2 linked regions of the Danio rerio genome follow. The protein of the gene in region 1 binds, or shares a complex with, the protein of each later gene. Links are inferred from orthologs where the notes say so. Each region holds a gene or a part of one and is shown on either strand. Other genes may lie near its edges.

What was found.
Region 2: ciao1 (region 1) and ciao2a share a complex: the UniProt entries of both Homo sapiens proteins name them as parts of the CIA complex. The link is inferred for Danio rerio from reciprocal best matches to the Homo sapiens genes CIAO1 and CIAO2A.

The regions. Positions count from the first base shown.
Region 1 is NC_133183.1:6,289,778-6,308,032, reverse strand, and holds ciao1 (probable cytosolic iron-sulfur protein assembly protein ciao1), read left to right. Parts: upstream 1-7,349; 5' UTR 7,350-7,458; coding exon 7,459-7,597; intron 7,598-10,288; coding exon 10,289-10,437; intron 10,438-12,940; coding exon 12,941-13,052; intron 13,053-13,373; coding exon 13,374-13,462; intron 13,463-13,783; coding exon 13,784-13,979; intron 13,980-15,259; coding exon 15,260-15,335; intron 15,336-15,664; coding exon 15,665-15,896; 3' UTR 15,897-16,585; downstream 16,586-18,255. UniProt on the Homo sapiens protein: Key component of the cytosolic iron-sulfur protein assembly (CIA) complex, a multiprotein complex that mediates the incorporation of iron-sulfur cluster into extramitochondrial Fe/S proteins.
Region 2 is NC_133200.1:1,560,450-1,576,265, forward strand, and holds ciao2a (cytosolic iron-sulfur assembly component 2A), read left to right. Parts: upstream 1-898; 5' UTR 899-922; coding exon 923-1,034; intron 1,035-3,250; coding exon 3,251-3,415; intron 3,416-6,858; coding exon 6,859-6,908; intron 6,909-7,059; coding exon 7,060-7,105; intron 7,106-7,831; coding exon 7,832-7,932; 3' UTR 7,933-9,621; downstream 9,622-15,816. UniProt on the Homo sapiens protein: Component of the cytosolic iron-sulfur protein assembly (CIA) complex, a multiprotein complex that mediates the incorporation of iron-sulfur cluster into extramitochondrial Fe/S proteins.

The sequences.
Region 1 (18,255 bases):
CACTATTGACACTAATGCAGTTTTACCTGAAACGTTTCTTATACTGAGAAAAAAACTCTATGAAATTCAAAGTATTTGTTTATTTTTTTTATTACTTATTTAGGTATAATGATGTGGACACCTTATGATGATGTCCTCACGGACATGCTAATGTAACATTTTGGTCCGCTTTATATTAAATGGCCTTAACTTCTAGATACTTGCATCAAAAAATAAATGCAATGCACTTACAGTGTTCATAATGTACTGCAGAACATTTCTGGTGCATAAGGGTAGAGTTAGGGATGGGTTTGGTGGTATGAGTAGATTTAAAGGTGGGTTAAGGTGGATGGGATGGTCAACAGTCTAATTACAAAAGATAATTACACATATAATTACATGCAGGTTTTAATCAATCATAGGTACAATGTAAAATTGTGAATTCAGTATACTTTCCTTCAACCTGCAATCACTACTTTAGTTTTTCCTGTCTATGAGTGTTAGAAAATTCACTCCTTTGAGTCCAATCAAATCTCACATAGAAGGTAAATCACATCGTAATGAACTACCTCAAGACATGGGCAATTTGTAAATGCAGCAAACTGCTTGTAAGTATTTAAAGTGTCCAAGAAGATGTCTTCTTTACACACATTGATCCAAAGACTGTTTGATGACGGATGTTTTCAGTATGATGACCGAAATGGCATTAAACACCCAGGAAGCACAAGAAGTCAACATGAAGTCAGATTGACGTTGAACCCCAATGTCATGGGGACGTTGCATTTTGTTTGAAAATGAACATCAGGTTGACATCAGAACATAATGTCAGGCCAACGCCATTGTCCAACGTCCATCATAAAACCAACCAAATATCAACGTATAATGATGTTACAGCTTGACGTTGTGAGGACGTTATCACTATGACGTCTATCAGACGTTGGATTTTGGTTGCAATACCAGACAAATAAATGTCAGTATTTGACATCAATATGATGTTGGATTTAGATGTTGGGTCGATGTTGAATTTTCGTCACTTTCTAACAACCTAAAACAGACCAAATGTTATTTGACGTCAGTATTGGAAATGAAAATAACATTAGCCGCAATTCCACTATCGGGCTAGTGCGAGCTATGGCTTTTATCGGGCCAGGCCAGGCAAATCGCCCGGGAGGTTGAGCAGTGAGGCCGAAATCATGTCGCGTTTCCACTGTCGGGCTAATAGCTCGCAGCGCGTCATGCAAACCCTGCCCCCAGAACATCCCCCGAATCGAACGTCACTCAATCCGTCCACTTCAGCGGGAATCAGGCAGATAATGCACACCACATCATCACGAAACTATTAAAATTAGGACAACCAAAACAAACAAATGCCACGTTACTGTACAGCACTACAATACGCACATACCTGTGTGTTCTCATTCATCATATTCATTTACTCACCAACCGACTGTTGGCATCGAAATCCAGTGGTCTTGCCACTAACGGAGGGACCCAGCGCAGGGAGCGCACACATCCATAATATAAAACCACATATATAAAATTCTCCATGAATGACTCGGTATAAAATGTATTTTATAACATCCTCAGTTAGACAGACGCTGTCCAACATTCATGTCAAATGCTCCAGAGAGAACTGAAACATGAACTTTTCCCTATAGGCTTTATAACACTTAACAGGTTATTCCCTTTATTTAAAGGTGTTGCTTATTATATTCTAAGTAAAGGAAAGTGTTCAGTGTTTCAGCACATAAGAGCAGCACATAATAAAATATAGCCTATTTCATTGCGCTCAGCAGCCATGCACTAATAAAGCTCTTCATGCATTTAAAATTTACTTTTTTAATTTTACCACGTGTAGTGACAGGGAGTGACACCAACAACAGAAGTTTGGATCCACGTGCAGGTTTATTAGAATTGTCAGGCAAGCAGTGGTCAATACCGGCAAACAGATGTATGAGGGCAATCCAAAGTTATAACAACAGGCAGTTGGTCAGAGGCAGGCAGCAAACAGCATTAAATAAATAAACAAGGCAAAGATCAAAACACGGGAAACCAAGACCAGGGGCCTGTTTCAGAAAGGAGGTTAAGTGAAAACTCAGAGTATTTTAACCCTGAAATGAGAGATACTCTAGGTTTTCCGTTTCAAAATGGCAGGTTTGTTAAACTCGAGAAAGCAGGGTAAGTCAAGCCTGTTTCTGAAAGAGAGGTAACTTTAACTCAGAGTCAGTTACTGTGGTAACTTACTCTGTGAATCTAACCTGGTCAGAAGCAGGTTTTATTCTCTAAACTCGGAGTTTCTGTCGGTCTCCTCCCCTTTTTTAAAGATGAAGTGGTATTTCTCGCCTAAGTCTTACGTTTCCACCCACCTATTTTAATGCTCATTTTGGACGTGCATAAAAACGATTGATAGAAATGTCATGATGCACATAACTTTTTAAAATATGCATAAAAAACGTGCATAACTGAATAGGATAAACTTTTATTCGATAGAAAATCTGCGCATAAACTACGATGGAAACACTTACTGAACAAATTACAGTATGTACATTAAAAAAAAGATCATGATCATATGATAATGAAAATGTGTGTAAATGGACAAACCAGCAGGCTGAGCACACTGCAACATGTCTTAAATATTGTGTTAGTCATTTTAAAATGCCTAAACTGTTTCAGTATTAGTGTATATTATTAATTGCCTCCGAACGTCTGGTGCGTGTCAAGAGTCTCCGCGTCTCATGGCTTCAGACGCCCCCACGTGTTCATTGTGTTTCAGCATTGTATTCTGACATCGAGGCGCAAGTACATTAATTAGGCTAAATAAAGAATTAATTGACGCAGCTTCTTCTACCACAGTAAATTCTGTTTTTACTGTTGATATTTGGTGCCAGTTTAATCAGAAAGTGACGATTTTTTTCTCTTTGACTCGTTGGATGGAATTTTATTCGCATCTTTTATGCAATATTCCAGTTTTGCACATAAATTTATGTAATATATTTGGATGGAAACATAGCTATTGCCTACATTTTAGTCACACACAGAAGAACTGTACTAGAATGGCTTATCCTTTTTTAAAAAATAATTAATTTAAATTCACCTTCGACATGCACTGTAACTAGATTAATGGGATTATTATTCTTTCTAAAAATTATTTTTAGTACTGCTTACCTTCTAAATGTTATATTAACCTCTATCACTTGATCAATAAAAAAGGCAGACACACAAGTGCATTGTTAAATCATTTAAAACTAATAAATGTATAAAAAAGTTTAGAAAAAAAATATGAACGTCACAAATTACATTACTTATTTTATTATACTTAAATATTTAAATACTTAAAAAGTGAAATTACGCATTAACTTGAGCAGCTGTTTTCCCACGCTAACTGTCTCCTCTTCACTGATGGTTGCTTCTTTTCAAATATATACGCTCATATTTGCTATAACTTTGCATGAGAACATCAAGTTCAGCTGGAGAAAGAAATGGTGATCTCTTTTATAAGATATTGCCATAGTCACTCGTAATGTTTGCGCTCCATTGATAATGCCTTTTTAAAGTCACGGTGTGCGCGCTTAACTCTGAGTTGGTCTACTCGAAGTTGATTGACCCAGCTCAGATCAGCTGTTCTGAAACCGAAAACTCTGAGTTTTTAATCTCTCGGTAAATCAACTCAGAGTTAAAGTTTAAACTCTGAGTTGTTTGAACCTCCTTACTGAAACAGGCCCCAGGATAACACGTTGTAATGTCACCTTACAGATAAACAAGACTCGGCAAACTGAAGGAGTGAATGTGTGGCGTAAATAGTGTGTGTTAATTAGTCTCTGAAAGTCCTCAGGTGTGAATAAAAATCAAGCTAAATGAGAAAGCAGGTGTGTGGGCGAAGAGCATGTATAAAGTTGTAGTCCAGGAAAAGTGTAGTTCTAAGTGTGTGTGTTTACCAGCGACATCTGGTGGTTGTTCGCTGGTGAACATGACACCACGGGCCTGTTTCAGAAAGGAGGTTAAGTGAAAACTCAGAGTATTTTAACCCTGAAATGAGAGAAACTCTGGGTTTTTCGTTTCAAAATGGCAGGTTTGTTAAACTCGAGAAATCAGGGTAAGTCAAGCCTGTTTCTGAAAAAAAGGTAACTTTAACTCAGAGTCAGTTACTGTGGTAACTTACTCTGTGAATCTAACCTGGTCAGAAGCAGGTTTTATTCTCTAAACTCAGAGTTTCTGTCGGTCTCCTCCCCTTTTTTTAAAGATGAAGCGGTATTTCTCGCCTTAGCCTTACGTTTCCACCCACCTATTTTTATGCTTATTTTGGATACGTGCATAAAAACTATTGATAGAAACGTCATGATGCACATAACTTTTTAAAATATGCATAAAAAACGCGCATAACTGAGTAGGATACACTTTTATTCGATAGAAAATTTGTGCATAAACTACGATGGAAACACTTTTACTGAACAAATTACAGCATGTACATTAAAAAAAGATCATGATCATAAGATAATGAAAATGTGTGTAAATGAACAAACCGGCAGGCTGAGCACACTGTAACACGTCTTAAATATTGTTTTAGTCATTCTAAAATGCCTTAACTGTTTCAGTATTAGTGTATATTATTAATTACCTCCGAACGTCTGGAGCGTGTCAAGAGTCTCCGCGTCTCATGGCTTCAGACGCCCCCACGTGTTCATTGTGTTTCAGCATTGTCTTCTGACATCGAGGCGCAAGTACATTAATTAGGCTAAATAAAGAATTAATTGACGCAGCTTCTTCTACCACAGTAAATTCTGCTTTTACTGTTGATATTTGGTGCCAGTTTAATCAGGAAGTGACGATTTTTTCTTTCTCTTTGACTCGTTGGATGGAATTTTATTCGCATCTTTTATGCAATATTCCAGTTTTGCACATAAATTTATGTAATATATTTGGATGGAAACACAGCTATTGCCTACATTTTAGTCACACACAGAAGAACTGTACTAGAATGGCTTATGCTTTTTTAATAAATAATTAAATTGAATTCACCTTCGATATGCACTGTAACTAGATTAATGGGATTATTATTCTTTCTAAAAATTATTTTTAGCACTGCTTACCTTCTAAATGTTATATTAACCTCTATCACTTGATCAATAAAAAAGGCAGACACACAAGTGCATTGTTAAATCATTTAAAACTAATAAATGTATAAAAAAGTTTAGAAAAAAAATATGAACGTCACAAATTACATTACTTATTTTATTATACTTAAATATTTAAATACTTAAAAAGTGAAATTAGGCATTAACTTGAGCAGCTGTTTTCCCACGCTAACTGTCTCTTCTTCACTGATGGTTGCTTCTTTTCAAATATATACGCTCATATTTGCTATAACTTTGCATGAGAACATCAAGTTCAGCTGGAGAAAGAAATGGTGATCTCTTTTATAAGATGTTGCCATAGTCACTCGTAATGTCTGCGCTCCATTGATAATGCCTTTTTAAAGTCACGGTGTGCGCGCTTAACTCTGAGTTGGTCTACTCAAAGTTGATTGACCCAACTCAGATCAGCTGTTCTGAAACCGAAAACTCAGAGTTTTTAATCTCTCGGTAAATCAACTCAGAGTTCAAGTTTAAACTCTGAGTTGTTTGAACCTCCTTACTGAAACAGGCCCCACGTCATATAAAAACATACACACTTGTTTGAGGACACAGAACACATTTTGAACTTGCAGTTTTTCCCAATGCGTCTGTAAAGTGCTGCGCAGCTGCAGACAGAAAAAAGGTCGCCTATTTCTGCTTTCACTCACCCTGAAAATGCTCTGTTTGCATGATTTGATTAATATCATCATATCCAAATACTTTATAAATAATATTTAAAACATTCTCCGCTGTTTATTGTTTTTAGAAAATATTTAAAATCTTTTTTTTTTCAGAGAGGCTTTTAAAAAATGAAAGTTTAATAAGGCTTTAAAACAGTTTGATATAGTACCTAATTGTTATAGCTAGCTTTTGTTAGTTTTATATTGGTTTATTTATTTAATGTGATTTTATTATATCTGATATTTGTAATTCTTTAAATTATTTCAATATGGCTTAGGCTATTTTATCTAGATATGACACTATTGTTTTGAGCCTACAAAAGTGGACACGAAATTTGTAAAGTTTAATGTCTTTCTGTTGTATTCATATAGTGTATTAACTCCAAAATAAATAAAAACAACAAAAAGAAAAGAAAAAAGCCGTACGGCATCAACAGAGTTGTGAAGGAAGAGCTCTTTTCCTTGGTCTCACACACATACAGGCATCTAAACTCGCACAAACACACCTTTTAAACTTGACAAAAACTCTCGAAAACCTTCACTGTCTGCTGTGTCTTTAATATGGTGTAAAGATTATTACGCGTTATTGAAACATCAAGGAGGACGCAGCAAAGAAAAGTCACTTATATAAATTAAAACTACTTTATTATTTTATGCAACAGCCTTACATTTAAAAGAGAAACATAAGGGCGATCATACGCAAAAAGACCCCAGCCTATTTGTTCCAGATGTTTTCTTTCCCTTGTTTATTTATTTATTTGTTTATGTGTTTGGCACATGTACTTGTGTGCGATCAGAAAATTGTGCCCGCCTCTCCTTTCACTCCGCCCCAAAGCCCCAGATGGCCCTCTTTGGCCCAAGGTATTTGGGGGGCCGAAAAAGGCCGGCCGCTGGCCCCAAGAAAGCCCTGATTTGGCTTGATTAGCCCCCGGAAGTGACAGTGGAAACGCGACTGGCCGTGGCTCGCTCGCTTTAGGCGCGATAGTGAAAACGCGGCTATTATCCTTAGACGCTGGCTAGATATTGAATTTTGATCACCTGACATCACAACCTAAAACTAACCTAATATTAACGTCTTATGACGTTGTGTGCTTGCTGGGCAATAACTCAATGCACTACAGAATTTTACGTTTACACACATTCACAAACTACAACGCATCAGTTTTTACCAGCGTAATACTCACTACTCTTGAGTACTTTTGAAAGGGCTACTTTTTACTCATACTTTGAGTAATATTCACAACATATAATTTTACTCTACTTGCACTTCATTTTTAGGCAAGTAATGGTACTTGAGTAGGATTTTTCAGTATCTTTCCACCACTGATGGAAACACAACTAGCTGACTTCTGTAGTAGTTTTTGTTCCAGCTATGGATGTCAACGGCTGCTTTTTTTCTTCAGAATGTCTTGTTTTGTGTTCAAAGGTTTGGCATTACTTCAGGGTGAGCAAATAAATATTTAGCTTTGTGTGAACTATCCCTTGAATGAAACGCTACAGTCCTGATGGTGGCGCTACTGCCGCGCATTTCTATCAACCGCAAGACACTGAAGCACAAAACAGGAAGCGGGAAGCAGCTGATAAACAGAAGACTTGAAGTTGTGTGACATCCGAGAGAGAACAGTGCTGCCGACAGGGAAACATTTACATGTCACATAGTAATAATTAATAACACACAGTTATATGAAATGAAGGGCGCGCTGGAGCTACAGCACAGGGTGAGCGCGCACCCGGACTCGCGCTGTTGGTACGTCGCGTGGAATCCCGCGGGCACGACGCTCGCGACCTGCGGCGGAGACCGTGCGATAAGAATATGGGGCAAAGAAGGTAAAACATAGCAAAATACATGTGTACAGCACACGTTTAAATCTATTTATTTAACCCTTCTGTTGTATTAGAATTATGTATACACGGTTCGCCCTTCACTAAACCCAAAACTGGTTTTATATTTAGACATTCGGACTTTCTCCTTAACTTAATAATATAAAGCTAATGATTATCAAAGTAAATCATTGTTTACAGTTAGATAAATAGTGTTAATGTTGTTTTTAAGCCATACTTGCATGTGATTTCAGACCGAATATACAAAGTACCATGATAAACATTATAGGAAGCATGTCACAAGTTGTCACTTAATGAATGGACGAATATAAAACCCAACTCTAACGTTATCTTAATTAAAATAAATCAGCTACATTTTATTTCAATCCTCAGATCTATTTTGCACAAAGAAACCATCTCATCTTCATCACAAACTCTGAATGTCTAGGTTTCCCTCAGGTTTCATTGTGGAGTATTTCACCAATGTTTAACTTAATCAGAGGCCATAGGTTTTGACTGAAGTACAGGCTTTATTTTCTAATGCTATTGTGTGTGAGTATTGTTTTTGTAGTGTAAAAATGGTTTTATAGTTGGTGTCAAAATTGAGCACAAGGACAACCGTTGTACCCTAATGTGTGAGCAATTCCAGCATTTTGGATGTGACAATTATTAGTTAAGCATAATTGCGCAGAGAAAGTATATGTAAACATATTAAAACATATTTATATTTTCTAAAACAACTACAGAGTTATGGGGTCAGAAAAATATTTGCCGGTATAAGATACTGGCGGTATGATAACCTTGGTTTCACGGTATTGTAATTACTGCTCTAAAAGTTATTTTTAAATGCCTGGGTAAAAAAACAACAAAATTTTCCTCCTTTGAATACAATATATTTTATTTTTTGAAAGATTTATAATATTTTGGAGCAGTAAACATGTCAGGCTAAATAATTGAAATTAATTATTGACTTCTGCTGTCTTCATTTGTTTCAAAAACACAGATTTCTTTACAATTTATACGGCATCTTTGGATATCTTTTCTGCTGGAGATGCTGTTGTCCTAAAAAACAAACAAAAAAGTAAATAAAAAATCGTGCACATACCTTAGGAACGGTATCTGCCGATCTGATGCAGTTAGGGAGTTCATTCCACCAACTGGGCAGATTGAATGCGAGAGTTCGGGAAAGTGATTTCTTCCCTCTTTGGGACGGAACCACAAGGCGACGTTCATTCATTGAACGCAAGTTTCTGGAGGGCACATAGATCTGCAGAAGTGAGAGCAGATGAGAAGGAGCAAAGCCAGAAGTCGCTTTGTAAGCAAACATCAGCTTTGAATTTGATGCGAGCAGCAACTGGCAGCCAGTGCAAACGGATGAGTAGCGGAGTGACGTGTTCTTTCAGGTTCATTAAAGACCACTCGTGCTGCTGCGTTCTGAAGCAGCTGAAGAGGTTTGATAGAGTTAGCTGGAAGCCATATATAAAATATATATAAAACAATTTTTTTAAATACTTTTATTGTTTCAGAAAAATGTGATACATAATGTATTAGTAACCAAATACCAATCAAAGAACACCCAACCCCATCCCGACAGAGACATAATATATATATATATATATATATATATATATATATATATATATATATATATATGTTACACATACAGTACATGCAAAAAATATTAATTAATAAATGAATAAAAGTAAAATAAACTAAAATAAGATAAAATAATAATAATAAAAAGGGCAATTTTGAAAAAAAAAGACATTAAGACAATGACAGTTCAACACACATACATTCCAATGAAAGTGAAAAAGATATTAAAGTTAGTCATAACAAACACAGTGCACATTAACACAGTCACATTGTTTGTGATTACTAAACGTTCAGGCCATTCTTACTTAAAAAATAAAGAAAGAAGTCCCAAATCTTGTAAAATATGTGCATTTTTTGTTTGACTGAGTAAGTCAGTCTTTGCATTGCTATACAAGAAGACATTTCCTCAATCCAGAGTGACAAAGATGGACCATGAATACTTCTCCAGTGAATGGCAGTCAGGCATTTCGTATGCAATAGACACAGATTTTAAAACTTCTGTTCATATGACTTCAGCGATAAGGCAGGTGGGAAAAGACCAAGAACACAGATTTAGGGCAAACAGGGATTTCTTTAACAATAGTTTTAGAGATTACATCTATTAGGTATTTCCAAAAGGATTGCAAGTGCTCGCATTGCCAAACACAATGGAATAGTGTACTCTTGTAAGTCAAACATAAAACACAAAACAATTTTGATAATATTAATTTTTATTATATTTAAAATTTGTAAAAGCTTATTGAGAGGGAAAACTTATAGATTTAAAGGAAAAGTAAATATTTCAAATGCAATTAGATAATTATTTTGGGGTCTCACTGTGTTTTTAATGTATTTGCTGTTCTGTTTTTGACAATTTTTTTACATTTTGCTCCATCATGATAACAAAATATTAATACAATTTTAAATAATATAAAATATGAACCCTTTACAGGGCACTCATTGAAATACTCATTGGAAAATCCTTGGTGTTACTGGTGGTAATTACAAGACTTTTGAAGTTTTAGGACTTTTATATAGTCTCTTTAAAACATTAATAGCATCCAGAAAAATAGAAAAAAAGCATTATTGCATTTTCAGCCTCTCGTTTGTTTTCATTCTCAGGGGACAGTTGGGAATGTAAGTGTGTCCTTTCTGATGGACACCAGCGCACAGTCAGAAAAGTAGCCTGGTCTCCCTGTGGGAAATACCTGGCTTCAGCCAGCTTTGATGCCACGACATGCATCTGGAAGAAGACGGATGAGGATTTTGAGGTGTGTGCTTGTATAAGCCTGATTTTTTTTCATTCTTTCAATTTTCTTTTTTTATTGCAGTATAACACAAGTGCAATAAGGAAAAAAATCTAATAAACATATCCACCAGAATGTACAATAATAGCACAAATTATTAAAAATAAATAAATAAATATAAATAAAAACAAAAACATTACAGCAAAAATAAACAAAAAAATCCAACAAAACTGAAAAAAAAAACTTTCATCAGTGTAAATTTTTTCAATAAACTGCAGTCTCCTTCCTGAATTAGATTTTATTTATCGTAAAGATCTACAGTATTACCAAAATTCCCTTTGGAAAACCAAAAACAATGGTTTTGTTGTAAGGCACTTGCATTGGATATAAAAATTTCTCCCAAATAAAATATTTTAAAAAAATAATGTAATATGTCATCGACCTCTAATAAATCAAAAATATCAAATATATATTATAAAAATAATAATATAACAAAAATATGAAATAGACATATTTAGAAAATTGGGAAGGCGGCTCCAGGGGTCTCATGTATCAAGGCTGCGTACACACAAAAACTTTGCGTACGGCAGGTTTTACGCTCGCGTTTGGATTTATTAACGATGAAATTAACGTGAGAATGTGCGTCGGTCCACGCCTACTTCATGCCTGGCGGACGCACATTTCTTGTGCGTGTCTGTTTTAATTCCATGGGAGACTCCTAGAGGCAGTAGTGTTAAATTGCACACCACGTCTTTGAGCCGTGTAATGGCAGCTGTATGAGAAGGGTTCATCCGCATGTCTAGCAGGTTTATAAGGTTTCCATACCATGCAGTTAACCAGCCAAACATTAAAGCGCAATTTGCAGCGGTCGCCTGTTTGCCCAATGTAATCGGAGCGATATACTGCACGCACATTGCTATAATGGTGCCATCTGAAGACGAATTTGTATACGTGAATCCGAAACATTTCCATTCAATAAATGTGCAAATAATATATGATGCACAAACTTATTAATGATTCTTACTTGTCTTCCTCGTGATGAAGAGTAGCCAAAATCAGATATGTAGCGGGGGAAAAAAAGAAGAACGTCTTCATCAGATGTGGGATTTGAACCAAGTTCATGCTTAAACGTGTCAAAACATGTTGCCATGCGTTTTACGAGCTACGCCACTCACGCAGTTAAAGAATCTACAACATTTTACACCTTTACATCATTCAGACCCAACTGTGTTAACCGCATCAGCTAAACTCTCCCACTCTAATTTTTTTCTTTTGTTATTAATTCCGGAGGACAAACTTGCAAATAACACCGTTTTTCCCCGGTCTAGCTCTGAAAGCAGCACCTCCAATTCGCATTCTGTTCAAAGTTTCTCTTCTTGCTTGCTTTTGCCATTACTTTTTTATTGGGTTTTGCCAAAGTATAGTAATAAGCATATTCATACGGGGGAGGAGGCAGGGAGGGGTTTTGCGCTCGTGCACATGCGCTCAGTTTCACGTTCATTCTGATGTACAAGGAGAATATGGGTGTGATTCGGTGTATGCAGTAAAAATTTCAGATGTATGAAACGCTGCGTCCAGTCGGTTTTAGACCATGCACCACAGCGCAAAGCGGATTTTTCCGCCCTTAAAATAGCAAAAGTGGATTCTGACACGCCCAGAATTAGGGGTGTCAAAATTAATTGTTTCTTCGGTGCACCGCGATGCAGATGCAGACAATTCGGTATCGGTTCAGTAATAATCATAACCGGTTATTATGTACTGACGTCATTTATCTCCTATGCGCTCTGTCGCGAGGGAGGTGAGCGCGAGTTTTTACAAACCTCAGCGCGGTTCAGTTGGTTTTGTTTTCGATATTCCTGACACACATTCAAGTATAGACGGCAATAACTCAAAAACCGCTTACCCTAAAAAGATCTAAAGTGTGTTTCCTACAAAAAGACAAAGCTGGTTATGTTTCACAGCTGTTTTTCTTTTTTTCGCTCAACATTACGAGCACTGCTCCGCTTAAGCCCTCGCAATATGTGTTTAGCCGGGAGAGCTCGTGCTGAGTAAGGGACCGTCGGAAAAGTGCTTCTTTTTTTTGTTTTTCTGCTCCGCTCAGCGTGAGCCCTCCCTGTTGTGAAGGCTTAAGTGTGTGTGTGTGTGTGTATGTGTGTGTGTGTTTGTTTCTTTGGTGCTGTCTATGTTTGTGTATGTGTTTGAATGACAGACAGTGTGGTGCTGTGTGTCTGTGTGTTTATACAGACAGCTTGTTATAGCCTCCCCCCTAAAATATAACACTGTATATGGAAAGCATCGTCAATGCACCGTGATGCACCGAGATATCGAATTGAACCGAATCGAAGGCATGATAATCGTAACCGAACCGTGAGACCAGTATAGGTTCACACCTCTACCCTGAATGCTTTTGCGCCCTGCGCTTTGCACTTTGCGCATGGATCATCAAAATAGAGCCCTAAAAGGCTAATTTTAGACTCTTAAAAAATCCAGAAAGTTGATCTGACATGTTTGTTATGTGTGTTTCCAGTGCCTGACGGTGTTAGAAGGTCATGAGAATGAGGTGAAATGTGTAGCTTGGGCTCCATCTGGAAGCTTACTGGCCACCTGCAGCAGAGACAAAAGCGTTTGGATTTGGGAAGGTACCTCAGAAATATGGAGAATACAGTGTCTTTCTGTAACACAAATACAAACCTTTATTAATTTTAAGTCTCACTGTGCTGATAAATGGTTCATAATGCGACTAGAAACAGTTCTTATTAAAGCTCCAGTGAAATTAAAGATTTTTTTATACATGGTAGTTTTAGTATGTTAGTTTTAAGGATATCTATAAGCTAGTGTGCTCCAAAACAGTGACAATATTTGTTTATGATGAATAAACACTGGTTTTGCCTATAATGTTTCATCTTAAAAGATTTTACCAGGATGATTTATCTGTGTTAAATGCTTCATTTTCCTTGTAGTGGATGAGGAGGACGAATACGAGTGTTTAAGTGTTGTGAATTCACACACGCAGGACGTAAAACATGTCGTCTGGCACCCGACGCAGGAGGTATAATATTCACACTCTTGATCAACATTATTCAATTCACCTTTATTTGTACAGCGCTTTTAATATGTAGATTTGGTCAAAGCAGCCTCACATAGAAGATTATAGTGAATTGAAACCGTGTAGTTTTAGTTTTCAATGTTAAAGTTCAGTTTAGCTCAGTTCAGTGTGGTTTAATTATCACTACTGAGAATCCAAACAGTGAAAAGCAAATCCATCAGTGCGCAGCTCTACAGATACCATGCAAGCTAGTGGCGACAGCAGCGAGGAAAAAAATTCACCAATTGTCAACACTGACCTGTGTTTTTTCTGATACTTTTGCAGCTTCTCGCATCAGCCAGTTACGACAACAAGATCTGTATTTATAAAGAGGAAGATGATGACTGGGAATGCAGAGCCACGCTAGAAGGACATGAATCCACTGTCTGGAGTTTGACCTTTGACCCTGAGGGACGGAGATTGGCTTCTTGTAGCGACGATCGAACCGTAAAGATCTGGAAAGAGTCGACAACTGGAGATGGTGAGGAGTTTTAGATACAGTTTTGCATAGTTAATCTTAAAGTCTCCGTGAAATCAAATCTAACCGTATTGATTTTGTTAGCTCACTTTGCTAGTTTTGTATAAATTCATTTGTGCATGTCATTAAAAAAAAAAAGTTTGCCCTTCTAATCTAAATTTAAAATCTGAAAATTCCCTTCCTGTTTGTTTTCGGTTAAATTCTTAGATTAGGCCTGTCTGAGGTTTTGGGTGTGGCTAACATACTTAACCACGCCCCTCCAGCTGTCAGTTTTGACAACAAACTGAATTGGTGAGGAGGATGAGTCTGTTGTAATAACTGTCTCCAAACCCTTTCCCCATCTTTCTTGTAATGTAATGTGTATTTATATAGCGCATTTATTGTGTATGGCCTACATCCAAAGCGCTTCACAATCATGAGGCGGGGGGGGGTCTCTCCACACCACCACCAGTGTGCAGCATTCACTTGGATGATGCGACGGCAGCCACAGGACAACAGCGCCAGTGCGCTCACTACACACCAGCTATTGGAGAAGCGGAGAGACAGTGATACAGCCAATTCAGTGGAAAGGGAAGATTGGGAGGCCATGATTGTAAGGGCAGATAGAGGGACTTTGGCCCGGACACCAGGGTTACACCCCTACTCTTTACGAGACGTGCCATGGGATTTTTAATGACCAAAGAGAGTCAGGGCCTCGGTTTAACGTCTCATCCGAAAGACGGCTCTCTGAATGAAATGCCGACTTCACTACATCCAATCAGCTCTCAGAAGAAAAACAAGCCACGCCCACTGATTTCTTATTTAATATTTCGTTTAGCCGCCTTTCCACTGCACACGACATTTGGACACGACTGTCAGAATACGCCCCCTTGTGGCAGTCGCACAGTATTTTCAGTGTTGTCATGCACCATTGGGAGAGGAGCTGTTCTGGCAGTGTCCGAAATAAAGGAGCGTGAAAGCAAGAACCTTTATTCTCTGTGCATTTACATGGTTTAATGAAGGAATGAATACTAGAAACTCAAAGACCGCTACAAATATTGGAGGGAATGTGGAGACAACATTAAAAAATTTATTTTTATTACTTTCTTACTTGCGTTTATGAACAGTTTTTTTTTTAATAGACTTTTTATGATTCAAAAAATAACCAAATAAAGTCCTGTTTCTCTTCTCGCGCGCTCTGACCAGCTTGTACAACACTGGAATACATCACATCCGGTCAGCCGGTCGCATCCGGTCAAGTCGACAATATAAATCTAAGAATTCTGCTTTTATGTTTCTGTTAGGTTCTTCGGATGAGTCCTGGAAGTGTATATGCACCTTGTCTGGATTCCATGGGAGAACAATATATGATATTGCATGGTAAGATGTGCAGTATATATAGGAGCAGAAATGGCTACAGGGTTTCTGTGGTTATCGAATTTGTATATACTGAATAATTAGCCGTCCTATATATATATTTTTTTTTCTAAATTTGTGTTTAATGGAAGGAATTAGTAAAAAAAAAAAAAAAAAAAATATATATATATATATATATATATATATATATATATATATATATATATATATATATATATATATATACACACACCGTAAATACACCTAAATTGTCAAAACAAACTTTTTATTTTGGATGTGATTAATTTTTCCCGAGCACTAATTGTTTTACTTTGTGGTTCTCCCGATTTCAGGTGTCGTCTGACCGGTGCTTTAGCCACCGCATGTGGTGATGATGGAGTGCGTGTGTTCAGTGAAGACCCCACTGCTGACCCAGAGCAGCCCATCTTCGCCCTGTCAGCCCACGTGCCCAAAGCCCACAATCAGGACGTCAACTGCGTGTCCTGGAACCCGAAAGAAGCAGGACTTCTGGCCACATGCAGCGACAATGGAGAGTTCGCCATCTGGAAATACAACTCTGCCTGAGCCGGTGAATGACGCTCAAGTAGACCGAAAGCACTGAATCAGTGGTAGTTCACCCAAAAATGTGAGGTCTGTAATTTACTCACCCTTTACTTGGTCTTTATTCTCTTTCGTCTGTTGAACACAAAAGCAGATATTTTGATGAAAGCTTACAAAAACTGTAGCCCTTGACAACCATAATAGGAAAAACATATACTATGGAAGTCAATGGTTACAGGTTTTCAGCATTCTTCAAAATATCTTCTTTTGTGTTTAACGGAAGAAAGAATCTCAAACAGGTTTGGAATAAGTAAATGATGGCAGAATGCTAATTTTTGGGTGAACTTCCCCTGTAAACTGGTCATAATGTGGAACAATAGCTGTTTTATTCTCACTTTGAGTACTGCAATTGTGCGTTGATGACAGCACTGGTCAAAAAGACAATACACTTTTTATTAAAATCGAATTTATCTGTTAGACTTTTTGATGGGTCACAATTTCTTAACCATATTGATATACTTCAGTTTTGTCTGTAGCTTAAAATGCCTTCAGGGCTTTACTTAAATAAAGCCTGCTAAAGATCAAAAGCAGCTCCTTTTTCAAGTGAATTATCATTTTTAATGCTGTATATTTTGCTGACTTATGTACTTACATTGTCCCAAATGTTTTAAAGAATGTTCAAATCCAGAAAAATTATCAATTTTAACTAGTAAGACTGAGTGTGTGTGTTATGGCGAGTTCAGACTGCATGATTTTAGTTGCCGAAAAATGCCTGAAATCGCAGGTAAATCGGTGCTCTTTCACATGAGTGACAATCACACAGTGTGAACTATCAAGGGCGCAATATGAGAGAATTGCCGATGAGTCATCCGTGAGATATTTGGCATGCTTAATATCTGGCGCTGTCGGTAATTCAAATCATGCCGTGGGAAATGTGTTCTGATTGAAAATAACATTGGCGATCACCTTCAGCCAATGAGAGAGCAGCATCCACTAGTATGGGTAACCGCAGAGAGATTAAAGAGGTTTCAGAATAGCTGATCTGAGTTGGGTCAATCAACTTTGAGTAGATCAACTCAGAGTTAAGGCTGATTTATACTTCTGCGTCAAACACCGGCGTATGCTACGGCGCTGACGCATAGCCCTTCGCCGTGGACGTCGCCGTCACTGACGTGCACCTCTCAAAAAATGTAACTACACGTCGCAACAACGCGTAGCGCAAGCTCTGTGATTGGTCGGCTTGGTATCGCTGATGAGTCGACCGAGAGCCGTGTGAATGGCGCGAACCCAATGTAGCGATTGTTTACAAGTGTGGAGTCCCGTGAAGGAGCTCCAGATGGAAAGTTTTGTTTTGTGTTTACCTCATAGTTAAAGTTTCTGCACGTCCGCCAGTTCCTGCCTCAAAATGAGCGAGTTTGAACCACTTGTACATCCCGGAAGTGTTCAGGAAAAGCAAAACAACAGCGAAGAAACTCGACACAGAGGAACACTTACACCTCACTGCCCACTAGCGTTTCGGAAGTGTTAATGCAGACCAACAGAGACAGCGCACAGAAGTATAAATGCACAGCCACGCGCGTTGCATGCGCCGTGGGTTACGCCGGTCACTTGACGCAGAAGTATAAATCAGGCTTTAAGCGTGCGCACAGCAACTATATAAAAGCATTATCAATGCAGCGCAGATATTATGAGTGACCATGGCACATCTGAAAAACGTTCAGCATTTCTTTCTCCAGCTGAACTTAATGTGCTCATGCAAATTTAGAGCAAATATGAGCATATATTTTAAAAAGCAACACCACTGCATCAGTGAAAAAGAGACAGTTAGCATTGGAAAACAGGCTAGCTACTCAAGTTAATGCGTAAGATTACATTTAAAGTACTTAAATATTTATAATAAAATAAGTAATGTAATGCGTGACGTTTATTAACTTTTCACATGAAATAGTGGGAAATTGGACGTAATTTTGAAGTTATTTCAGATGTAATTGCATAAAATAGACTACTGCATAGTTTCTACAACAAATTTTACAAAACAAGAATGCAGATAACCTTAGCTCAGTGTTCAGTGGAAATGTTTAAATTAAACTAAATTAAATTAAATTCCCACTTTTACACACACTGATCAGTTTAAATAGATGTAAAAGTGCACTTGTGTGTCTGCCTTTATTATTGATCTGATGATAGAGGCTGATATGACATTTAGAATGTAAGCAGTACTAAAATATCGCTTTTAGAACGAGTAATAATCCCATTAATCTAGTCAGTGAATTTAATTATTGATTAAAAAAAAAAACAAGCCATTCTCGTGACTTTGTTTTTTGTGTGACAGAAATGTAGGCAACAGCTATGTTTCCATTCAATAATGCTAACTAGTCGGCCC
Region 2 (15,816 bases), on another chromosome or scaffold:
AGCTCAGGAGCTTCCGCCGATGAGCGCGCATTATACAATAACAAACAGCACACTATGGAGATAAATAATAAACAGTCCTCGAAGATTAAACTGCAGGATTTAATCTGAAATACTGATACTGTGAGTTTCCGATCTAAACAAACCACAGCTGATCATCACATGACAACCACATGATCATAGCTACAGCAGGAGGACCAATCAAACCGGAAATAAACACTTCTACTTATGCGCGTTCATGGATAAATGAATGTAAATATCTATGATGCGCGTTCACTATGCTTATGTCAACTAACGTTACCTAAAATTATTTGCCGTGATTAGTAAATAAAAGTTTGGCTTTGTCTCTGTTTGAGTCTTTAATAAGAGCAATGTTTATTTTATGTATAATAATGCAGGTTTATTTAAACTAATCTAAATCTATACAAAACAAAATAAAGGAATTAATAAAAAAAATCAAATATTAACAATATTATCAGCAAAAATAGTGTAATTAAAATAAAAATTAATGTGGTGTTTTATGAATTTATACATTAAAAATGTTGCAAACTATAAATACTATTTTTTAATTAATTTAGCATGTGTAATACAAAACAGTAGAAGTATATTGACTAGTTTCTATGGATAATGTGTTGATATAAACAAAAATCCCCTTAATAAAGTGTATTCTATAGTCTTGGTATAAAATAATTAACGCCAAATTAATTAAAATGGTTTTTTAACATATTTTATAGTTTATTATTATTTCAAAATAACTATATAATATTTTAAAATAAATGGCATATAATCCCAAAAAACAACGCCAAAAAGTTTATATTTCCATCGACATTTCTTTGTTGATCACTCTGGTCTGCGTGAAAGAGGAAGAGCGGACGCGCATGCGCATGTCAGTGTCCGTGATGGAAATGATGGACCGGACCGGATCATGGAGCTTGTGTCCGGACTTTTGAGCAAAGCATTGTTTTTAACGGGACTTTCTAACGAGACGAATGACAAGAGACGAAAGAAGATGGAGGAGAAAGCGCTGGAGGTGTACGGTGAGCCCTGATGACCTCAATCAAGAGAAAAGTCTGTGGTGTTTTCATGGCACGATGACATTGTCAGGCGGAAATACTATAGTATTTTTATATATTACTATAGTACTGAATAATCATCTTCATGGTACTTTAAGTAGTGCCATATTACTACTTTGTTAAGTCAATAAGAAATGTGATACTGGATGTATTTTATCTGATACGTCAAAGATCATATTAACATACTGATAAACAGAAAACGGGGTATAACCATGGTACATAAATGGTGTCCGGTGTTAATGCCATGGTATTTTTGTGGTTGAGTCATTACCGTAATTATGTACTCTATTTTTCTGTCACCATGGTACATAGTTACAATTAAAAACTTGGTTTACTATGCTAAATTGATTGTGGTTGTTGTGATTGTGGTATTAAATCATTACCGTAATAACATACCATAATACTGAATCATTACCATAATCATTTACCACAGTATTTCCCACAAACTTTAAAAAATGGTCTCAAATTATCATTTAACATGGTAAAAACTGAAAAGTATGTAACTGAAAGGTATTAGCATAACCAGCAGTGATGATGCTACTTTGTAATACCATGCTATTTTCATATATACCATAATAATGAATCATTACCATAATCATTTACCAAAATATTTCCCTTAAACTTGAAGGAATGAAGTTCAACTGTTTATATTTTATTAATGTATCATAGTATTAGTATTGAATCATTACTGTAATAACATACCGTATTACAGAATCATTACCGTAATCATTTACCAAAATATTTCTCTTAAACTTTAAGAAATAAAGTTCAACTGTTTTTATATTATTAATATACCATAGTATTAGTATTGAATCATTACCGTAATAACATACCGTAATGCTGAATCATTACCATAATCATTTACCACAGTATTCCCTTAAAATTAAAGAAATAGTCCCAAATAATGATATAACATGGTAAAAACTGAAAAGTATGTAACTGAAAGGTATTAGCATAACCAGCAGTGATGATGCTACTTTGTAATATCATGCTATTATCATATATACCATAATAATGAATCATTACCATAATCATTTACCAAAATATTTCCCTTAAACTTGAAGGAATGAAGTTCAACTGTTTATATTTTATTAATGTATTAGTGTTGAAACATTACCGTAATAACATGCCATATTCCGAATCATTACTGTAATAACATACCGTAATACAGAATCATTACCGTAATCATTTACCAAAATATTTCTCTCAAACTTTAAGAAATAAAGTTCAACTGTTTATATATTATTAATATACCATAGTATTAGTATTGAATCATTACCGTAATAACATACCGTAATGCTGAATCATTAACAACAGTATTCCCTTAAAATTAAAGAAATAGTCCCAAATAATGATGGAACATGGTAAAAAACTGAAAAGGAAGGTAACTTAAAGATGCTAGCATAACTAGCAGTGATGATGCTACTTTGTAATACCATGCTATTATCATATATATATATATACCATAATAATGAATCATTACCATAATCATTTACCACAGTATTCCCTTAAACTTGAAGGAAAAGTCAAACTGTTTATATTTTATTAATTTTTCATAGTATTAGTGTTGAATCATTACCGTAATAACATACCGTAATACTGAATCATTACCATAATTATTAACCACAGTGGCGATCCAATGGCGCAGTAGGTAGTGCTGTCACCTCACAGCAAGAAGGTCGCTGGGTTGTTGGTTCGAGCCTCGACTCAGTCGGTGTTTCTGTGTAGAGTTTGCATATTCTGCCTGCATTCCGGTTTCCCCCACAGTCCAAAGACTGTGTGTGTGTGTGGATGTTTCCCAGAGATGGGTTGTGGATAAGTTGGCGGTTCATTCCACTGTGGGGACCCCGGATTAATAAAGCCGACAAGAAAATGATTGAACTAAACACAGTATTCCCTTAAAGTTTACGAAATAATCTCAAACTATGATGTAACATGGTAAAAACTGAAAAGCAACATAACTGAAAGATATTAGCATACCTAGCAGTAAATAATGTTAATTATTATAATACTGAGTCATTACCGTAATCAAATCAGTATCAAACGGTAATGACCAGTGTATTATTAAATAGAATATACAGTGTGTTTTGATAGCAAAACTCTGTTATTTGTCATTTTCTCTCAGATATTTTTCTGTTTAAGGTGAAACTCTTAATATGCTGATGTTGTTGTTTACACAGATGTGATTCGGACGATTCGTGACCCGGAGAAACCCAACACTCTGGAGGAGCTGGACGTGGTGACGGAGAAATGTGTGGAAGTTCAGGAGCTCGGAGACGATGAATATTTGATCGTCATTAAGTTCTCTCCAACTGTACCACACTGCTCTCTGGCCACGCTGATAGGTGAGTATGTGACGAGATAACACACACACACACTCAAACGGACATCACTGCACCACACAGATAGCAGGAGACACAATAAAGGAAACACTTCTTGTTAGGGCTGGGCGATATTGCAAAAAAAATACATTTAGGAAAATTATGATTTTTTTAACCTTTTTTTTAATTTTACAACATTACTAAGGCAAATAGTTTAAATAGTCAAAAATAAAAATATTTTAACTAAATATCTCTTTATAATAAAATAAACAGAAGTGTTAAAGAGACTCTCAAACTTAATAAATAAAATGTTACAAAGTGTGTGCAATGGTAAAGCGTAAATACTGACAAAAAACAGAAATGTGCGCACATCTAGAAAAATCTTGAAGGCAGGTGCACGATCAAAAAACAAACATAAGTAGCAAAAGATTCAAAGTAAATCGGCACACTGCCACTTTAGCTCTCAAAAAAATTTTAATGTCAAAATTACAAAATCACTGTGATTTTGTAATTTTGACATTAAAATTTTTTTGAGAGCTAAAGTGGCAGTGTGCCGATTTACTTTGAATCTTTTGCTACTTAAAGCGTAAATACTGAACAGTCGAAGCAAACTTTAAGGTGTGAATAAGGGCGGCGGGGGGGGGGGGGGGGTCTCCCTATCGACCATTTGGGGAGCACCCAACTGTATAATGTGACGGCAGCCATATTGTAATACTCTTATTACGAGTCTACTATGTAAGCAGGGATCCATGAAAGGACCACGAAATGCAGAGTTTTTTTTACGTTCGCCATGCAGTATCAAATTCCATTAAAAAAGAAATCGAAAGTTAAAAATGACAAACCCGAAATTGCATGAAACTCTCAAGGAAACTCTGGAGAGTCTGGTAATGCGACATTACTATTTTATACCGAAACTTGCCTTCTAAAAGTGCTTCCTTTGTCTTATCCATATTTCTTAACATGTTGAACACACAAATAAAAAAAACTTGCAACTGCGTTAATTGTGTATTTTTTTAAAACACGTTAAATATTTCAAATTGATAGCATGCGTTAACGCAGTAATTTTGACAGCACTAGTTTATATACATATACTTACATTCACGTTCATATGTATCAGCTTGTCTGTTGCGCCACTTTTTGACTGTTTGGCGCCATCTAGTAAATAAATAATATGTAGGTTAGTGTTTGCTGTAATTAGCCGGGTTCATTTCTGTCAGCTTTGCGTTTAATGAAAGAATTAATAAACTATTACGGCTCAGAAGAATGTTTTTTAGCTAGCAGTATTAAGCAGGATGAGGTACATCCAGGATGGTTGTTTTGCCAGAATAAACGGTTCAGTACAATGGAAATACTATGAAAGTCATGGTTACAGGTTTCCAGCAATTTTCTAAATATCTCCTTTTGAGTTTGACAGAAGAAACTCAAAGTTATTTATAAAAATAACGAAAGTATTTAATATTTGGTCAGATTTGCTAGAATTATAACTTATATATTTCTATATCTAAACTACGTTAGTTTTACTTTAGTTACTTTTTAATAATTTAGATTCTTATTGATACTATTTATTTAGTAAGGTCACTGGCAGGTATATAAGCATTTCACTGCATATTGTACTGTGTAAAGGCTGATTTATACTTCTGCGTCAGGTGCACACGTATGCTACAGCACAGCCAACGCATTGACGCATAGCCCTTCACCGTGGCCATCGGCGTCGCTGACTTGCACCTCTCAAAAATTGTAACCACATGTTGCAACGACACGTAGTGCAAGCTCTGATTGGTCGGCTTGATATCGCTGACGAGTGAGGGCGGGGCCGAGAGTCGTGCCAGCATGGGAGCCCGATGGAGCGATTGTTTACAAGTGTGGAGTCCCGTAAAGGAGCTCCGGATGGAAAGTCTTGTTTTGTGTTTACCTCATAGTTAAAGTTGTTTCACATCCGCCTGTTCCTGCCTTAAAATGAGCGAGTTTGAGCCACTTGTACATTCAGGAAGTTTTCAGGAAAAGCAAAACACCAGCGAAGAAACTCGACACAGAGAAACATTTACACCACACTGCCAACTAGCGTTTCGGAAGTGTTAATGCAGACCAACAGAGACAGCGCACAGAAGTGTTAAGCCTGGTTTATACTTCTGCGTCAAGTGACCGGCGTAACCCGCGGCGCATGCAACGCGCGTAGCTGTGCATTTATACTTCTGCGCGCTGTTTCTGTAAATCGAAAGTTAAAAATGACAAACCCGAAATTGCATGAAACTCTCAAGGAAACTCTGGAGAGTCTGGTAATTCGACATTAACTATTTTATACCGAAACTTGCCTTCTAAAAGTGCTTCCTTTGTCTTATCCATATTTCTTAACATGTTGAACACACGTCGACCACAACAGGAAATAAAAAAACCTGCAACTGCGTTAATTGCGTAATTTTTTTTAACGCGTTAAATATTTTCAAATTGATCGCATGCGTTAACGCACTAATTTTGAAAGCACTAGTTTATATACATATACTTACATTCACATTCATATGTATCAGCTTGTCTGTTGTGCCACTTTTTGACTGTTTGGCTCAAAATTTTAACTAAATGTCGCAACGACACGTAGTGCAAGCTCTGATTGGTCGGCTTGATATCGCTGACGAGTGAGGGCGGGGCCGAGAGTCGTGCCAGCGTGGGAGCCCGATGGAGCGATTGTTTACAAGTGTGGAGTCCCGTGAAGGAGCTCCGGATGGAAAGTCTTGTTTTGTGTTTACCTCATAGTTAAAGTTGTTTCACATCCGCCTGTTCCTGCCTCAAAATGAGCGAGTTTGAGCCACTTGTACATTCAGGAAGTTTTCAGGAAAAGCAAAACACCAGCGAAGAAACTCGACACAGAGAAACATTTACACTGAACACTTCCTGAATGTACAAGTGGCTCAAACTCGCTCATTTTGAGGCAGGAACCGGCGGAAACAACTTTAACTATGAGGTAAACACTAAACAAAACTTTCCATCCGGAGCTCCTTTACGGGACTCCACACTTGTAAACAATCGCTCCATTGGGCTCACACCGCTGGCACGACTCTCAGCCCCGCCCTGACTCGTCAGCGCTACTAAGCCGTAGGGGTGTCACGATTTCGATTTGAAGCTGACCAATCACAGAGCTTGCGCTACGCACCGTTGCGATGTGTAGTTATAATTTTTGAGAGGTGCACATCAGCGACGGCCACGGCGTAGGGCTATGCGTCAACGCATAGGCTGCGCCGTAGCATACGTGTGCGCTTGACGCAGAAGTATAAATCAGTCTTAAATGCACAGCTACGCACATTGTATGCACCGTGGGTTACGCCGGTCACTTAACGCAGAAGTATAAACCAGGCTTAAGTGACTAACAACATTTGAATTTCAGGTTTGAAACAAGTAATTGTAATTTTTGGGTAGACTATTCCTCGCTCTTGTAAATAAAGGTTATTTACTGCAGTGTTGTCTTCTTCCTGCAGGTCTGTGTTTACAGGTGAAGCTTCAGCGCTGTCTGCCCTTCAAACACAAGGTACGTCTGCAAACGCTGTGATACTCTGCTGTGTGTGTGTGTGTGTGTTCATCAGTAAAGCTTCTCAAGTGTGTGTGTGTGTGTGTGTAATGAAGCGTCAGTGTGTCAGCGCTGTTTCTCTGGCCTCTGATGGTGTTTTCTGGTCTTCCAGCTGGAGATTTATATAACAGAGGGAACACACTCGATCGAGGAGGACAGTGAGTGTTCAGACCTGCTCTTTAAATCATGTTTACACCACTGCAGATCTTCAGCAACCCAAGAGTGTGTTCATGTGTGTCTGATTGAATTTGTGTATGTGTGTGTGTGAGACTATGAGTGTCTGTGTATGTGCGTGTGTCTGAGTATGTGTGTGCAAGAGTGTTTGTGCATGTGTGCGTGCGTCTGATTGAATGTGTGTGTACGTACGTATAAGTAAGTATGTGCGTGCATGCATGAGTATCTGTGAATGTGTGTGAGTGCATGAGCATTCGTATATACATGTGTGTGTGCATGCGAGAGTGTGCTGGTGTATGTGTGCTGTGTCTGAGTTTGTGTGTGCGGGTTAGTCCATGTGTGTGTCTGAGTATGTGTGTGTGCAAGAGTGTTCATGCATGTGCGTCTGATTGAGGGTGTGTGAGAGAGTGTGCGTGCATGTGTGTGAATGTGTCTGAGATTGTGTGCATTCATGTGTGTGTGTGTGTGTGTGTGTGTGTGTGTGTGTGTGTGTGTGTGTGTGTGTGTGTGTGTGTGTGTGTGTGTGTGTGAGTGAATGTGCTTTTGTTAATGTGTGTGTGTCTAAGTGTGTGTGAAAGTGCATCTGTGCATGCATCTGTGTAAGTGCATGTGTGTTCATGCTTTTGTCTGAGTGTGTTCTTGCGTGTGTGTGTGTGTGTGTGTGTGTATCTGTGTGTGTGTGCTCTCCTGTAATATTGTGTTTCTGTCAGTCAATAAGCAGATCAATGATAAGGAGCGCGTAGCGGCAGCGATGGAAAACCCCAACCTGCGGGAGATTGTGGAGCAGTGCGTCACCGAGCCGGACGACTGAACACAAGCACACGCACACACACAGACTTCCTGGAGGAAAGTTGCATCACCTCAGAAAACAAGAGAAGAGACTTAGCTTCATCCCTCATGTCCTCAAAGCCAACAGGAGAGGCTTCAGCTTCTGTTTACACTCAGATGAAGAGGATCTCACTGAAAAAACATCCCAAAAACAGTGGGATACTATATTTATGAACTACAAAACATCATTTATGGGCTATAAATCATCATTTATTCACTATAATACATTATTTATGGGCTATAAAACATACTTTATGAGCTAAAAACATAATTTATGAGCTCCAAACCATTTATGAGTCATAAAATATACTTTAAACATTATTTATGGACTATAAAACATACTTTTTGGGCTATGAAACATCATTTATTAGCTATAATACTTCATTTATGGGCTATAAAAACATACTTTGAACATTATTTATGGACTATAAAACATACTTTATGAGCTAAAAATGATCATTTATGAGCTCCAAACCATTTATGAGCTATAAAACATACTTTAAACATTTTTTTATGGGCTATAAAACATCATTTATGAGCTATAAATCATAATTTATTAGCTATAAAACATTATTTATGAGCTTTAAATCATCATTTATTAGCTATAATACATTATTTATGGGCTATAAAACATACTTTGTGGCCTATAAAACATTATTTATGAGCTATAAATAATCATTTATTAGCTATAAATCGTAATTTATTACCTATTAAACATACTTTATGAGCTATAAATCATCATTTATTACCTATAAAACATTATTTATGGGTTATAATACATTATCTATGGGCTAAAAACCATATTTTATAAGCTCCAAAACATTTACAAGCTATAAAACATACTTTAAACATACTTTATGGGCTATAAAACATACTTTAAAAGTTATTTATGGGCTATAAAACATACTTTATTAGCTAAAACGTCATTTATGATCTATAAATCATCATATATGAACTATAAAATATCGTTATGAACTATAAATCATCTTTTATTAGCTATAAATGAGTGTTTATGATCATGAGTTGGTGCAGTAGTTTTCGGTGTTGGGTAAAGTTACTTTTAAATGTAATATATTGTGATCTTAAATCACTTAAAGTAATGGGAGAGTATGTTAGCATTGATTAAGACAGGCTTGCGATATATTTCTTTTAATAGTAACTTTACCCAACACTGATAATGTCTGAACTAAATGATGTTGTTATGTTTTTTATGGTGTTTTTTCATCCATCCGTCCTCCATTCTGTAATTGTACAGAAAAGAGCAACATGAACATTCTGATAAACATCTCATTTGAAGTCGTGTTGTTTTGGGTGGAATTGAAGTCGAGTAATGATACTAAACTTGTTTTTAAAGAATTGTTTTGTAAGAGATGGTGATGATAATGAGCTTGTAAATATTTTGATTTTGTAAGGGAAAAGTCTATATTTGTAGAACTGGAGAGCTTATGAATAAAAACTTTCTCAGAGATATAAGAAGAGGTTTTTATATATACATGGAAATTGAATTTTTGTAGCGTTCATTTGTATGTTATAGGCCTGGACTTTTCAATGAAGCTAATGTAATTTTGTATAATCAATATAATTACAGTACACACTGATTGTAAATGAAATGTTAACATATACATGTGTACTTTGCATTATAAAAATATTAAAGATAATATTAACATTTAAATTCTTAGTTTCTGTGACATCTATATATGTTTTTTAATAAATTGTATACATAAGATATAATATATTTATTTGAAAAACATACTTTAATATCGTTATAATTTTTTACCTGGATTTTTAATTAGTTTATTATTTGTATTTTATACAGCTGGAAAACTCATGAAAATGAAATTCATGCACTTGTAAAATGTAAGAAATATAGAATATATAAGATTACCACACAATTGCAATAAAAAATCTATTTTTTTTATTTAATTATTACAATCTGTCAAATATCATAAAATATGTGAGAAGTGGTTAAATTGACATAATTTCTTGCCTTTTTTATTTATTTTAAACTTCTTAACATATTTTAATCTGTTTATATATATATATATATAATTTTATATATTTAATTTAATATTTAATTAACATAACTTACCTACATTGTTTGTTATCAATGGTTAATAACAGGAAAATGGCATTAAAATAAAATGTAAAAGGAAATTGTAATATAATAAAGTGTTTTTAACTTTTAATTTATATAAAATATTTTTTTATAAAATCTCGAATAATTTGTTTTACTTATAGGATTAATTGTACAATAATAACAACAGTAAAATTATACATTTTACGTTTATAATAATACAACTGTACAAATTAAGTTTCCAATATATATTTATACACATATCGTATAATTAAATATAATTAATTGATTTAATATGTAATTTAATATTTATATCCTTTGTTTTTTTTTTGTATACTGATTATTTTGATGGTAATTAAAATCTACATTCATATGCCATTGTGTATGAAATGTGCCAAATAAATGAACTTGTTTTGCCAAATAATAATAACGCTCACAATTCATAAAATAATAAAAATGTCAGATATCATAACTAAATACATTACATTTTAAATCTCTTAAACTTGTAAGATTATATACAGAAAGAATATAACCTGATCTTTCTTTTACTTTTTTCTAATAGCTTATTTGTTTAGTTATTAATAAATGCCACTGAAAATAAATGATTTATTGGATTTACAAACAATTAATATGGGATAAATTTAAACAAACAAATGAAGAATGTTTGTTTCAATTCTGCCCATATGAATTGTTTGCAACCATTTACCTTAAAAACATTGAATAAATCCAATGGATCATTTATTTTCAGTGACAGACTTCTCCATGTGGTGGCGCTCTACAACCAAATTCCCTCAAACTGCAGTCCTTCACATTTAACAGATTTACAGGCTCTATGCTTGACAAAAAACACAGTAAAACACAGCGTTTACCTTAGATTTACAGCACACTGGAGGCCGATGGGAAATTCAGCGGTGTGTTGTGTGTGATTTTGGCCGCAGGGCACTTCAGAACTGAGGATTTTCAAGACCATTATTAAATATTCAGCTTTAGTGAAATCATTCTAGACAGACATCAAGTATTAATATCAGACATTCAGAGTCGATCTCATCAAACACACACTTTCTGGAGTTATGAAGAGCTTGATGTGTGGAAAAAACTGTCGGAAAACATCCAGACCTGACAAAATGACAAATACATAAATACAAACATAATAAATACATGAAGAAAATGTAAAACAACAACAACAACAAAACAGTACAGAAGGCCAAACCTGTAAAAATAAATAAATAAATGATAAATACTTTAATAAATACATGAAGGAAATGTGGAAAAAAATCAGTAGGGAAGGCCAAACCTTGAAAATAAATAAATTAATATTAAATAATTTTATGAAAAAAGTGAAAAATTTAATAAGTATGGAAGGACAAACCTGTTAATATATATATATATATATATATATATATATATATATATATATATATATATATATATATATATATATATATATATATATATATACATACATATATACACACACACACACACACACACACACACACACACACACACACACACATATATATATATATATATATATATATACATATATACACACACACACACACACATATATATATATATATATATATATATATATATATATATATATATATATATATATATACATATATACATATATATATATATATATATATATATATATATATATATACATATATATATATATATATATATATATATATATATATATATATATATATATATATATGAATACATTAATAATAAATACATAATAAATAATATATTATAACTTAAAATCTGAAAAAAAAAAAACACAAATCAGTATGGAAGGGCAAACCTGTAAAAATACACAAATTAAATAATAATAAACACATAAAAAAATATATAAAGAATATGTAAAAGAAAATCAGTGTGAAAGGTCAACCCTTTAAAAATAAATCATAGTTAAAAACAAATAAATATATGGAGAAAATATGAAAAAATAAATCAGCATGGAAGGACAACCTGTAAAAATAAATAAATAACATTAATAAATACATAAAGAAAATGTGAAAAAAATCAGTGTGAAAGGTCAACTGTTTAAAAATAAATCATAATTAAAAACAAATAAATAAATGGAGAAAATATAAAAAAATAAATCAGCATGGAAGGGCAAACTGTAAAAATAAACAAATAAACAATAAATACATTAATAAATACATAAAGAAAATGTTAAAAAACAACAACAAATGAGTAGGGATGGCCAAACCTTGAAAATAAATAAATAAATAAATGAAAAAAAGTGGGGGAAAAAAATCAATATGAAAGGTCAAACCTGTACAAAATTAATATATTAATTAATAATAAATACACCAATTAATAAAATCAAACAAATCAGTATGGAAGGCCAAACCTGTAAAAAAATACATTAATTAATAATAATTACATAAATGAATAAAATCTGAAAAAAAAAAAATAAAACTAATCAGTATGGAAGGCCAAACCTGTAAAACTAAATAAAAAATAAATACATGAATAAATAAATGAAGAAAATCTGAAAAAAACTAATTTTGCTTTATTTACATGGTTAATTGTGTCATATTAACAGAATTATACATTAAGTTTCCAATACAATAATTCATTTTACATTTAATTTTGACGTCATTGTCCTGTAATAAACTTTGAATTGTACTTCTCGTTTATTATTTAACTCTGCATTGTACACAACAATAATAATGTTTAAATAATATTATATTTTCTGTTTGTTCTATTAACATGAAAATAATATAAATATATTTTTTTAGGTTTATATAAAACAATTTAGTGTAAACGGTCCAATCTTTTTTTTGTTAAATTCACACTATTAACTATATAATAATAATATACATTAACAGTTTAATTTTCCTGTTATTAACTTAGAATTTTATTTATTGTGTATGATTTAAATCTGCACTGTACACAACATTATTGTATAATTAATACTATATTATTATCTTTATTCTATTAGCCTTACATGAAAATAATAATGATATTTTGTCATTTTATATTTGTATACATGATATTTTAGACCGATATGAAGTGTCAACAAGGTCTAATAATCTTCGTTTTATTGACATAAATAGCTGTTAAAAATAAGAAAATGCATTAAGAGAGAAGATCATCAGCTTCTGAGCACATATGATGTGCATTCGGTGAGTTGAGCAGCTCTGAAAGCTTCCCCCAGTGTTACATAACATCATAACAGCAGCTCTGCTTTTATTATTATGCAGAAACAGCTTGATTCTCTTCATCTACAGCCTCACAAATCCCTCAATTTACAGGTTCACGAAGCAAAGCAAAGACGACAGACGGAAAATATCAAGCCGACGGCGTTCACTCATATTCAGAGACTCCGCTGGGCTTCAGCTCCGTGTGTTTATGAATTTATAATGCGAATTACAATATATATTACAACCCTGATCCCTACCGGTGTTTCGACTTGTTTTTATTTATCGTGTCCGTGTCGTACGTGGTCTCTGACTTGATTAAAATATATTCATAATGCCATAACTCGGAGGATCTTATTACCTTTGGAGGCGCGTGTGGAGGAAAGTCAGGGATTTGATTAGCTTACAGTTACACTCGAGGGGACGCGGGAAATATTTATTAAAATACATGTAACTTTAATAAATCCGGGCGATTTCTGATGTGTGTTATGATAGTGTACTCAACAGAATATTTATTGGTTTGTGTAAATGTCAAGATGTAATCACGTACCGTTTATCTGCGACGTGCGCGCGACCGGAAGTTTAGCGAAAAGTTCCTCACGTAGGCCTAAATTAAGCAATTTTTTTTCTAAACAGCTTCCAGTGAAATTGATTTCAGTATTGCTTCATACACAACATTAGTATATACAATGCTGTCGATATCACTGGAAATTGGTTCAAGTCTTCTTTTCTTAAAGATACATTACAGCTTTGTGAAATACTGAAATTTCCCTGCTGAAAAAAACAGCTTAAACCAGCCTAGGCTGGTTGGCTGGTTTTAGCTGGTCGACCAGGCTGGTTTTAGACGGGTTTTGGCCATTTCCAGGCTGGTTTCCAGCCATTTCCAGCCTGGTCTTAGCTGGTCAGGCTGGGAGATGACCAGCCAAAACCAGCTATGTCCAGCTTAAACCAGGCTGGTCAAGCTGGTTTTAGCTGGATTTATCTGGTCATTTTCCAGCCTGACCAGCTAAGACCAGGCTGGAAATGGCTGGAAACCAGCCTGGAAATGGCCAAAACCCCTCTAAAACCAGCCTGGTCAACCAGCTAAAACCAGCCAACCAGCCTAGGCTGGTTTAAGCTGGATTTTTCAGCAGGGTTGAACTGTTTTCTATTTTGGCTAAGTACACATTAGCCTTGCTAAGCTGTACAAATGTCTTTGTTTAATATTTTGATCTTTTGCACGATTAAACACCAACAAAAACACTGAACAGAAAACACAGAAGCTATGTCCAGCTTAAACCTGGATGGTTGGCTGGTCTTAGCTGGTCGACCAGCCCGGTTTTAGAGGGGTTTTGGCCACTTCCAGGCTGGTTTCCGGCCATTTCCAGCCTGGTCTTAGCTGGACAGGCTGGAAAGTGACCTGCTAAAACCATCTAAAACCAACTTGACCATTCTAGTTTAAGCTGGACATATCTGGTTTTAGATGGGCTCCCAGCCAGGCTAGGCTAGTCAAGCTGGTTTTCCAAAGCACAAGATGTGGGATGCGACCTGTGTGAGCCTTGGTTTATTTTTCTGCTGCTACCACGAGTCAGGTGATGCATCACTTTGGTTTTTACTCCACTGTACAAAGTTATTGAAATACAGTTTTTTGGATACCCGAGCTTGGTATTTTACATTGGTTTATTTTCATATTTTTCATATGGTTCATATATGACACATGTACAAGTTATAGCTCAAATGAAAGCTCTTGCTGGTGCTCATATGGTTCTAGCGTTCTTTTTACTGAAATATTTTCACAGGTCAAACAGTTGCTGAATGAATCGCCGTGTCTCCATGGCGCAAAAGTGAAAACAATACATTTATGATGAATAAGCACCCCCAGATAGCGCAGACAGTGATCAACCCAATGAAAATATCAACGTAATTTGAAGTCGTTATTGAACATCAAAATAACATTGTCCTTAGACGCTGGCTAGATATTAAATTTGGGTCTAAATCTAACCTAATATTAACGTCTTCTGCTGGGTACGAACACATTTCTTTTTAACATAATGTGATAATTCTACCATTAATGCATCATGGGGAGATTCCTGAGTTTGTAGTAACTGAAATGCCAACACAACAGCACTGGTCTGCAGAAGCACTGCTTTAGCGCGAATTCTAAGCAAACCGATGTGATCATTTGATTCAGGGAACAGCCGGTGCTGATCACACCAGTGTAATCATTTGAGACAAAGGGTTAAATTTAGTGCTGTCAAAATTAGTGCGTTAACGCATGCGATTAATTTGAAATATTTAACGCGTTAAAAAATTAACGCAATTAACGCAGTAGCAGGTTTTTTCATTTCTTGCTGTGGTTGACGTTTGTTTAACGTGCAAAGAAATATGGATGAGACCAAAGAAACCCCTTTTGAAGGCAAGTTTCAGTATAAAACTATTAATGTCACATTACCAGACTCTCCAAAGTTTCCTCCAGAGTTTCATGCAATTTCTGGTGTTTCATTTTTAACTTTCGATTTTTGTTTTCATGGAATTTGATACCGCATGATGAACGGAAAGAAAGACCTTCGCATTTAGTGACTCGGTGGTCCTTTAAGGTAATCAAAAATCGCTGTTTACATGGTCGACTCTTAATTAGAGTATTATC